Yarrowia lipolytica: one gene and its partners. The protein of the gene in region 1 interacts with the protein of each later gene in a pairwise test. Links are inferred from orthologs where the notes say so. Each region holds a gene or a part of one and is shown in the gene's direction. Other genes may lie near its edges. The genes, in order: YALI1_B21088g, YALI1_D17983g and YALI1_E11415g.

The links.
Region 2: the proteins of YALI1_B21088g (region 1) and YALI1_D17983g interact in binary tests that used the Saccharomyces cerevisiae proteins (3 or more experiments, as listed by UniProt). The link is inferred for Yarrowia lipolytica from reciprocal best matches to the Saccharomyces cerevisiae genes RAM2 and RAM1.
Region 3: the proteins of YALI1_B21088g (region 1) and YALI1_E11415g interact in binary tests that used the Saccharomyces cerevisiae proteins (3 or more experiments, as listed by UniProt). The link is inferred for Yarrowia lipolytica from reciprocal best matches to the Saccharomyces cerevisiae genes RAM2 and CDC43.

What each region holds. Positions count from the first base shown.
Region 1 is NC_090771.1:2,107,019-2,110,475, forward strand, and holds YALI1_B21088g (uncharacterized protein), read left to right. Parts: upstream 1-1,869; coding exon 1,870-2,862; downstream 2,863-3,457. Other genes in the region: YALI1_B21070g (uncharacterized protein), read right to left, coding at 1-61; YALI1_B21104g (uncharacterized protein), read right to left, coding at 3,054-3,419.
Region 2 is NC_090773.1:1,796,438-1,800,073, forward strand, and holds YALI1_D17983g (uncharacterized protein), read left to right. Parts: upstream 1-1,841; coding exon 1,842-3,101; downstream 3,102-3,636. Other genes in the region: YALI1_D17970g (uncharacterized protein), read right to left, coding at 1-597. UniProt on the Saccharomyces cerevisiae protein: Catalyzes the transfer of a farnesyl moiety from farnesyl diphosphate to a cysteine at the fourth position from the C-terminus of several proteins having the C-terminal sequence Cys-aliphatic-aliphatic-X where X is Ser, Ala, Met, Cys, or Gln.
Region 3 is NC_090774.1:1,139,717-1,143,532, forward strand, and holds YALI1_E11415g (uncharacterized protein), read left to right. Parts: upstream 1-1,817; coding exon 1,818-2,100; intron 2,101-2,413; coding exon 2,414-3,291; downstream 3,292-3,816. Other genes in the region: YALI1_E11402g (uncharacterized protein), read right to left, coding at 1-462; YALI1_E11441g (uncharacterized protein), read right to left, coding at 3,529-3,816. UniProt on the Saccharomyces cerevisiae protein: Catalyzes the transfer of a geranyl-geranyl moiety from geranyl-geranyl diphosphate to proteins having the C-terminal sequence Cys-Ile-Ile-Leu or Cys-Val-Leu-Leu. Acts, among other substrates, on Rho1 and Rho2 and CDC42 proteins.

The sequences.
Region 1 (3,457 bases):
AGCCGAAATCGAGCACCAGAATGGTGTCGAACATGGAGGGGATGTTCACTGGGGCGGGCATTATGAGAGTTGGGTGTGCTCCAGTAGGATGTGGTAGGAAGAGCGTTGGGTATTTAAAAAATTCCAATAGAACAGAGTTGTATGCACGAACCGAAAAAATACTTTATCGACCAGAGCTTAATTTCGATGTTAGGGTTGGGGGTACGGAAAGGTTGTACTTGTGCCTGTAGAGGGCTTGGAAGAGTGGTGATGTTCGATAATGTGAGATGATTGAGACTTGGTATGCTACTTGATGTGGTTTTCCTGGTTGGTTTTGTTTCTTTTGAATCACAATTATTCACTTTCGCCACACAAGACAGTCTCTTAATCGGTATCTGACTCATTAACAATCACCATCCGACTCATCAACATTCACCGTAGTCAGTCACATCGGAGTTCACAACGGTGATAGCCTTGGAAGTGCCTGTGATGCTGTCGGGTACTGGTGCTGTAATCAGATACGTATCTGTCAATCATTTGCTCTTTGGAGGTGGAATTCCATAATTTACTTCATTAGCTGTTTTGTGAGCTGTGGATTATCCTGCTCATCGCTAGAGTTCCATGTCGTTATGATAGTAACTGTCCGTTGGAAGATTTACAAGTACAAGTAATCATCCTTGTAGTACATTAATAGTCATGGGTGAACCATGCAACGATTGTAAGAAGCTGTATCACTAAAAAAGGAGTGCACTTGTATTTGTAAGTTCTTCAATTATCGAGAGTTTGTAGTACACTGGTACTTTCAGTAAAAACATGTAGAGCTAGTTGACTACGCTGTGCTCATCATGTCTGTTGAGATGGTGCGTGTTGTCCATTCAGAACCCCGTTACGTAATATAAAGCACCTCGAAACTTGATCTGAGACTGTAATATCCACCTGAACCATCTTTATCGTGGCTACAGTATGTACTACTCATCTCTCAGGCTTATCAGTCTACAAGTAGTACACCGTGGACACCGACCACACCGTTGCCCTGGCTAATGAATCTGCGTGTTGCATGCATTTTCCTGTAGGCACGAGACCTGAGTCGAATAATGCACGGGTATCAGATGCGCTATAGCAGTGCCATATATGTCATCCATTGGGGGTGATTCGTGAGTTCCAATATCCCAAATCAGAGTCTCAGGCGCCACCCCTATCATTCCTTGATAAGTCTCAGGGAACATCGGGGATCCACTTCTGCTTCCGTAGAGTTTAAGCTGGAGTGAAAAAAGCATGCACCCGCCGAATTTTCGAGACTTCGAGACAATAGAGATGAACTCTGTTAGCCGCACAACTGGCTGTCAAACACAGAGACGTGAGATCAGCAAGCAGTTTTTGTTAATAAGCATTTAAGGTGGGGCAATCAGGTCACTGATCACGTGATTTAGCTCTCAAAGAATGATTCTGTCATATGTTCTGTGCTGGAGGCGGCATTGCTCACTTCCTGTATGTTTGTTGGGTTCCTGAGTAGTTGTGCAAAGATACAACTTGACAGTAATATATTATATTATATATGCTACACTGCCACTTGTTGTTACGGGTTCTCAGAATACCCTCTCCAATAATCCACATCTTTGCTTTTTTTCAGCAGTTTGCCTCACATGATCTCATACTACTCGTACGTACCCGTTCTGGTCGTGCTGTAGTGTACTTGTACACTACATGTACTTGTGGTTGTCCGTATATGGATATCCCAATTGTGAAGCTACATTACTGTACCCTCATACAACACATCACCCCATCCAAACTCTATTTCATACCGCATTCAGTCCACACAATAGTTTCATCACAGCTTAAAAGGAGCTCTGCAAGTGCTAGAAATACTCGTTACAACACTCCCTACACAACATGTCACACAACTTTGACGACCTAGAAATCATCCCACTGCGAGAGAGCGACCACGCGCTGGCCTCCATTGCATACACTGACGAGTACAAGCAGGCCACTGGCTTGCTACGTGCTCTGATGGAAAAGAACGAGAAGTCTTTACGAGGTCTTCAGGTCGCGTCTAATGTGATTGCCCAGAATCCAGCCCATTACACCGTATGGGCATACCGTATCGACACGCTGAAATCATTTGCTGCTGACGTCAAGGCAGGTGCTGCAGATAAAGACGAAAAGCTGGCAGCACTGCAACACGAGCTGCGCTGGGTAGATGACATCGCCATGGCATGCCCCAAGAACTACCAGATCTGGCCTCACCGTCAACAGCTGCTTGAACTATTCGAGGTTAACCCTGATCTGCTGGGAGAGGAGCTGACTCTGGACAGAGAGATTGAACTCATTGACTACATGCTGTCTGACGACTCCAAGAACCACCATGTGTGGTCGTATCGACAATGGCTAGTGACACGGTTCCCCACACTTGTCAACCTCGATTCAGAACTGGCCACCACATCCATCATGATCCAGGAGGACTGCAGAAACAACTCCGCTTGGAACCACCGGTTCTTCTTATTCAAGCTCAAAAACGACAACAAACAGGAGTGGACTACAAAGCCGTCTTTCCAGGAGGAGGTTGAGTTCGTCGCAAATACCATCGACAAAGCACCACAAAACCACTCCCCCTGGCTGTACATTGAGGGTCTCTACTCCCATTACAAGAAGGACATCAAGGATCTGCAGGAGCTGACTTTCAAGTACGCGTGCCTGCCTTCTGATCTGGGAGAAGATGAGGAGCCTCTGATCACCTCGTCGCATGCTCTGGATTTACTCGCCAAGATCTACCTCAAGGAGCAGGAGAAGTCAAAGGCTCTAGAGGCTCTCAATTTGCTCGAAGAAAAGTACGACCCCATTCGAAAGGGCTACTGGGCTTACCGGAAGAAACTTGTCGAGGCCTAGTCATTTCTCCTACGAGATAAATATATATGCATGAACATCTCACAGACATGGAACTTCAAATACCACTGTAGTGAACCCATACAAGCAAGAAAAAAAATCGACCGTTGTAAGTCATATGACTAAAGCGGTCTATGTTGTAATGTCAATTGGTAAATACTTTATCATGCCACACTCCTTCTGTTCTATATCACTTAGATCCTACTTCTAAACCGACCATTGTGTGTGTCTCTGTAGAGCACAGTCTCTTGCCCTCCGCGTGAAACGCGCATGACGCCGTTCTTGAGTGAGACATGATACTGTTTCTGAGCATCTGAGCCCTTCCGCAGCGAGTACACCTCTCTGAGTCGCAAGTATGTGGCTGTCGAATCTATGCCGAGCCATGGGCTTCGAATTTGGTTCCATCCCCATCGTCTGCTCTCGTAGTTCCATCGATCTCCGAGAATATCACCCTGGAAAAACGTTGTATCATTAATGTATCCGGACAGGGTGCTGGAAGCTGGATCCACCACTGAAATGTGAATTTTCATGGCAGTGCCTGTGAAAGTGGCTGTAGTCATTGTGACAGGCGACAAGTGCTCATTGTCGTTTGTTCGCT
Region 2 (3,636 bases), on another chromosome or scaffold:
TCCAGAACTCGGGGGGGTTCCCAAGTGATGGTTTGAAGACTTGTCGAGTAGAGCCTCCTTCAGCAGACTGTAATTGCATCTCTTTTCCATAACTCCGATCGACAGGAGGGACGCCACAAAAGAGCAGTTTTCCAGGCCATCTTGATACAGTGTTTCGAACCCAGACCAGGTGAAGACGGCATCTGACGACGCAAAGACGTGTGGAATACGCAGCCACGACACGTCTCGGTGTTGGCTCTGTCGCAACCCTCCATCAGTTGCGTCCACGTACAGATCATCGCTCTTTTTCAGTGCAGACACCGGAGTCGCGTACTCCCACGGTAAAGCGTATCCGTAATTGGTTCTCGATGACAAGTAGACAATTTTCTCAGCCAGAGAGAGTACCGAGCCACCTTTCTTTATAGAATCGTAGGCATCCATGCTTCTTTTCGCCTGTCGAAGTACCAGTTTGCCAGTTGCTGGAGAAATACTTTTCGCATAGTCCACCAAATCAGGGTACGTCTGGAGAAGCGAAACGAGGATCTCCTGCGCCTTTTTGTCGTCGTTACATGCTATTGCCAGCATTGCCGAGGTGTATATTTCCTCCGGAAGAGACATTTTTCGTGTTTACTTCTTCGTCTGTTCGTGTCGCTCGTATGTCGTCTGTCGATCGTCTGTCGTCTGTCGTCTGTCGCTCGTCTTCCGGATGATTCGGTTAATACTCTTCCATGTACTTTCTGGTTGGTGCAATCGGCGGCTTGTGTTGGGAAGGCTTGAGTGTCAATGCTGGCTGTCAGATTATCGAGATCAGCGCTATCGATGGAACCAGGAGTGCAGCTGTAAGGTGGGTTAAAGTTCCATATAGGAGGGAGACAGAACTCGAAGGGCTCGTGAACCAGACGGTATTGTTGTGTGGTTGGATTGAAGACTGAATTGCCAGACGGTATTTCGGCACCCGATTCCCGAGAATCTATGACATCCCTCACAAATTCTCTGCAGCGAATGTTGAGTGCAGCAGAGCTACTACTCCCCCCTAAACCTCTCATGGCGGTGAAAAATGGGTGTTTTTAGAACGGAAAGACGAAAATTAGTTGCCAATCGTGTCCCTCACGTGATTCTCTTCCAGTTGGTTTTGTCCCCCGCCTTCTAGCTTCCCTACAACCCGAATTACCCTTCTCTTAAACGAACACCTATATGAACAAACGCTGAAACATTCGGTAAGATTTTAGGACATCATACAAGTACTTTCTCTGCCTGTACAGTGCCGTAATATTGCTGTAAGAACGCTCTTTCAAACACATATCTCTTAATAGTATATGAAACCACCCGCTTGAAAGCGAACTGACGATCGTCAGACACTCTCTTTCAGAGAAGGGATACGCTGACGAGCGTCGGACATCTCCTTCAGAGGAGCACAAGAGGGCCCTTCAATTAATATCCAACTACCCCCTCGGCGACCGCTTGCTTCTTATATCACATCGCCAAATCTCTCGCTTTCGCTGACCCCCTAGAGTACAAAAATACGCCTCCATCATCGACACCCCAACGTTTTTTGCTGCATACCCAGCAACTCTCAACCTGGATACCCTAGTTTAGACTGCAGAAAACAGACCCTCTCCGTCCGCTCAATAGTCGTTGTATTCGAATATTAAAGCAATCCGCTCCCTCCTAAACTTGCCACAAACACACCCACGACTTTTTTTCACGTCACGGCCGCTCCATCATCCCCATATCCACCCTCTCTACCGGCATTGACATTTCCCAAACCGTGTACATGAATCCTGCACCTCCTCTCACACCACACCATTCTACTCATCACCCACTTTGAGCCGTCTCAATAAGACATTGACAGTACAAAAACGATGGCTCGTCTACCGTCGTCCATTCTGGACTATATTGCGGCGCAGCAGAACCGACACAAACTGCGCAACATGACACACATTCTCACGTTACCGATCCGAGACTCGTATGTCACGGAAACAAGTGAGCTGCAAAACGCCACAGAAGAACAGATTGTCGCCTGTCTGGAGAAATCACGCGACCAGGTCAGATCTCTGGAGACAGAGAAACACGTGAATTTCCTCAACATGTTTCTGAGCCCGGACGCTCCTCTTCCCGACAAGTTCACTGGACTGGATGCGTCTCGAGCCTGGCTGCTGTACTGGTCAGCAAACGCCATCAGAGTGCTGGGAGGCGAGCTGAGCGACGAACAGAAGAAGGGAATACCCCTGACTCTGGAATCGTTTAAGGAGGACGGTGTATTTGGAGGTGGATCAGGCCAAGACGCACACGCGGCTTCAACATACGCCGCCTTCCTCGCTCTGGCTGATTCGGACGATGAGGATGCCTGGGGTCGCCTAATCAACCCCGAAGAGGTTCTCAAACACAACCTGAAGCTAAAGTCACCAGATGGAGGGTTCGCTTCCAACGTGGGTGGCGAGACTGACGTGCGAGGCACCTACTGTCGATTAGTGGTGGCCTCTCTGACTAACACACTGACAACGGAGCTTACCGACGGCGTCATTAAGTACATTGCTTCATGTCAATCGTACGAGGGAGGTTTCGGTGGTAGCCCTGGCAATGAGGCCCACGCCGGCTATACTTACTGCGCGCTTGCTGCCCTGGCCATTCTGGTGCCTATTAGGGAGATGGATCAGTATGTCAACGTTGAGTCGTGCCTTGCATGGTTGTCTGCTCGCCAGTACCAGCCCGAGGGCGGTTTCTCTGGCCGAACCAACAAACTGGTTGATGCTTGTTACGCCTACTGGGTGGGAGCCTCTCTCGTGCTCATCAATGGAGCTGTGCATGCTGGTCCTTCTCTTTGGGACCGAAAGCAGTTGGCTCAGTACGTTCTCAACTGTTGCCAGCAGTCTGGAGGAGGTCTTCGAGACAAGCCTGGCTGCAAGGCCGATGCCTACCACACCAACTACGCTGCCTGTGGAATCGCCATGTCTCAGTACATATACTTCCCCGAGGGCGAGAATGGTTTGTATTGGCAGGCCACCAGTTGCGATGGAGCCGATACTAGCATTTGTCCTGTCAACCCTGTTTATGGTGTTCCTCTGGGTGTGGCTGAGCGGATGAGACTGTACTTCACATTGAAGGAGGAGAATCTCAAGTGAGCTAAACGACGCAGAATTTTAACCAACGTCATTTCAACTCATTCTGATATATACTTGAAATTAATTAGTACATCATTCGATGTTGCGGACCAACGCACGACATCTACATTACAGCACATACTGTACTGCAAGTTCTACGAGCCACAGTCAAGACTCTTCGGTGGTGTCGTTAGTAGGGACCTTCATTCGGGTGGCATAATAGTATGCCACGGTCTCGCTATACTCCCGCGAACCATTGCCAGAATCTTCTGCAGCAATGTGTGAGTTGTCTGAAAAAGTGGTGCGTCTCACTTCCCACTTTGGGGTGCCCTGGAACGGCTGATTCGTCTCTTTTCAGGAAAAAGCTGGTACCGAAATGATTCGCTGAGCTTGTCGAATTCTCACATCAAGATATCGTAGTTGTACGACAGCTACATGTCCATCGTACAGTGGTTGAAGTTTTCAAGGAGACGTGTCTGGTTGCACACGCGCTTTTCGTTATGTTAACGCGTGTTAGAAGACAAGGTACATGGATTTCTGGCACTCCTCACATGGC
Region 3 (3,816 bases), on another chromosome or scaffold:
CTTGATCACCTTTCGGAACTTCTCCACGATATCCTTGTCACTATCTTCGGGGTAAGTGATGTCGACTTTGGCCGACTTGACTCCGTATCGGTTCTCCATGAACTGAAGAGTCTTGTCGCATGCACCATAGAGAGTGCTACAGTGAACAATCACATCTCCTTCCTTCAAGGGAAGACTTCGAATGACGGTATTGAAGCCCACAGAGGCGTTGGGAACAAATACCGTGTTGAGCTTCTCAGAATTGATCCATTTAGACACCAACTCTCGAGTTTCGTCCTCCATCTTGTAGAGATCCACTCGCATAAACTTATCTGTGTTCTTCTCGATCTTTCGGATCAGCTCGAACCGTTTCTCCTCCACATCTTTGGGAGTTGCTCCGAACGATCCGTGGTTCAGAGGCGTATTCTGCGAGTCAAAGTCCCAGAACTTATGTCGAGCAGTATGTCCAAATGTCGTCGTCATTGCGGATGTATGGAAGTGTTACTGCTGTTGAGATGATGCGGTTGTGGGGTTTATGTATCAGAATTGGGTTTAGCGGGGTAGGGAATGGAGATCATTAACTTGGGCTATTTTGATCCAAATGAAATGAAATAACTCTCAATCGAATCCCCGGATCAATATTATTTCAGCTATATAATTTGTATATCTTCACAATAGACAATTGGCCAACAATGTGTGACAGTCCTCGACCAACAGAGTTCATGACTCAATAAGCGAGATTACTAATAACAGACTAACATGCGGCTGAGGTCTTCCGAACTCTTTGTAAATCAATACCTCCAAGAGTCATAACCGAAGTACCGCTTTAGGACGAGATTTTCAATACTTCTTTGTCATTCTACGTGCTTCTCCTTTTCTCGGTTCAATCTGCATGCTTCGCGGAACGTGTCTCGGAACGTTATGGTACGTGATACCAGTCAAGTACATCCAGTACAGTATGTACAGATATCCACTACAGTACTTGGGATTACAATCTGTACACGATAATATATCAGATACAAAATACAACGTGATATTGTTTTAAATCACAGCCATTTGGTCCAACCAGAAGTCCCACCCTTGCAGATCAACCTACCAATACGCGTCTCGACTCAATGAAGGTATGACTCGGAACAATCAACGGGTTAAATCTGTTTCAACGACATACCATGAAACGCACGATGTCATCAGAGCCGCCCCCTCCAGTTAAACAGCGTGCTTTGCATATCCATTTGGCGCGTTCATCACAGACCCTAGATCTGGAGTTGCACCTGTTCGGTTATCGGTTACCCCGCAGTGTTAATAGAGGGTATTTTTCAGTTCAGAAACAAACGGATAGCCGTTGTCTTAAGCGAAACTGAAATATGGCAGACAGGTGTAAGACAGACGTTCAAAGCAGTCAATAACAGAAGCAAATCGAGTGATGAAAGATGACTAATAGAACAATGGGATTCAGCTGGAAATAGTGGTGTTCCATTACGCTGATTTGGTGTTCCATGCGCCCCGTCGACATCTCCAATGAATATCAACCATCTAAACTAAATCTCCAATGTTAGTTCCCTTTTCCTCCCAATTAATCTTAAAGGTTTACTTAGCTCTTCTTCTGGCATTAAGACACACTTCAGACGCCTCAAAAGTGATTTAATTGCTCCAATATTTTAGTGGATGACCCAGGGCGGTGGTATTAGCAACCTACAAGTGTTGTAATCACTCAATATCTCTTCCAATATCTCCAAAAACACCCCTTTGCACCCCCACCAACCTAAAACCTCTCCAGACAATATGGAACTTTAAATGTCCCCTTAATGGCAAACATCCATTTACACACCACCCGAAAAATGGAGAAAACTAAACACACAAAATACTTCAGCCGCTGCCTGTTTCTGCTGCCAGCACAAGCGACTTCCTACGACGGAAACCGGCTCTCCATCGTCTACTTCTGCCTGAGCGGACTAGATCTTCTGGGAACCCTGGATCAGTTCATCAAGACAGACGAACAGAGAAAGGAGTACATTGAGTGGATCTACAAGCAGGTGGTCGAGTCTGGGGAGGGATTTCGAGGATCCCCCACGTTCAAGCTCTGTGGACATGAGCATAGCGAGTCACGAGAGGGAGACAACAGTGAGTATGGGGAAAGAGGCGGAGATGTGGTTATGGTGATATAGTAGGGGTGATCCTGAATTATGAGGAGTCATCAGGGGGTTGAGAGCATCTTACTGAGATTCCCATGTTGTTACTGCCGATGTCTGTTACATGGCCCGAGACCATTTCCCTGGAATGGACTCACTTTTCTTGATCTGTTGATCCCATGAGTGTGAAATAGATCCAAGTAAATAGAGCCTGGTTTCGGCGCCTCTCAATGTCTGTCTTGTAATCTGCCACATTCTTATAGATACTGACCCCGATTCATCCGCTTCGTTTTACGCTAACTCAGAATATGACCCGGCTAACCTCGCAGCCACATTCTTCGGCCTTGCGTGTCTCGGCATCCTAGGTGACCGGGAGATCTGGACACGTCTATCGCGTGACAAAATTCTTTCGTATGTGGCTTCTTGTCAGCGTGATGACGGCAGTTTTGGATCCTTTTGCATTGATGGAAAGGTGGCCCCAGATTATGATATGAGATATTGTTACCTGGCCACTGGCATTAGACAACTGGCACGTGATACCTCAGAGAGATTGTCTAGTTCGCGAGACATTAACATCCCTGCTATGGTTGGCCATATCAAGAACACAGAGTCGTTTCAGGGAGGCATTGGACAAGGTCAGACGGGCAACGTCACCGAGCCGCACTCCGGACTGACATATTGCGGACTGTCAGCGTTGAAGAACGCCGGCCAACTGAACAACAAGGAGTGGGGAACAACGTTAGAATGGCTTGTGGGCAGGCAGTGTGACGAGAGAACAAGCGAGACGCAGGTGTCCGAGTCATCTAAGAGAGATGACAATGACTCGTCGGAGGAAGAACAAGGAGACCCCCAGACTGGAGGTTTTAATGGCAGAGTTGGAAAACTGGCAGACACATGCTACTCATTCTGGGTGGGTGCTTCATTGGCCAGTCTGGGAGGTACGAATTATGTTTCGGCTGATCTGGCCCGTGAATATCTTCTCAACAACACTCAGAACACACTTCTGGGTGGCTTTGGTAAGACCCCCGGCGAGATTCCAGATCCTTTGCATTCTTATCTCGGCGTTTGTGCCCTGAGCATCTTTGGACAGCCAGGTTTGGGTAAGGTTGTTCCTGAGCTTTGCATTAGTGAGAAGGCCTTTGAAACGTTGACTGGAGGAGATAGCACGAGTGTGGCTGTATGAGTTATGTTAATGGAACCTCTCTGATACGCGATACAACTAATAACGAGATGGCACACACCAAGTCCTCAATGTTGAGCTGCAAGACATTTCGAATTGTAGCCTTTTGTAGTCATCAGAAATATACAATAAATTACATATTTATATACATGTCCAGGAGGAGTAGCAATGTAGATGCAATGTAGATGCAGTTTTACCGCTGGTGCTAAGATAGCGATGGAGATCACGGGCTGTTGTCACCTAAAGTTGAGGTCCTGGAAGATTCATTCTCTCGAACCGCTTGACAAGATCTTCGTAAATGCACCAGGAAATACCGGCCTGGCACGCTTTTCTGCAAATTCGCAGCGCCAGGCCTCTAAACAGCGCCTGAATACCTTCATGCTGTATAATGGTCTTAACGGAGGTGAGGAAGTTGGGGTACTCTTTGGGGGCCAATTGCATTCGAGTTTTCACAGTGTCGAAGGGATTAGTACAGGTGGTGGCAATGCCTGCAGACGTTGCTGCTGCCACGGAGTTGATCATGGCAGA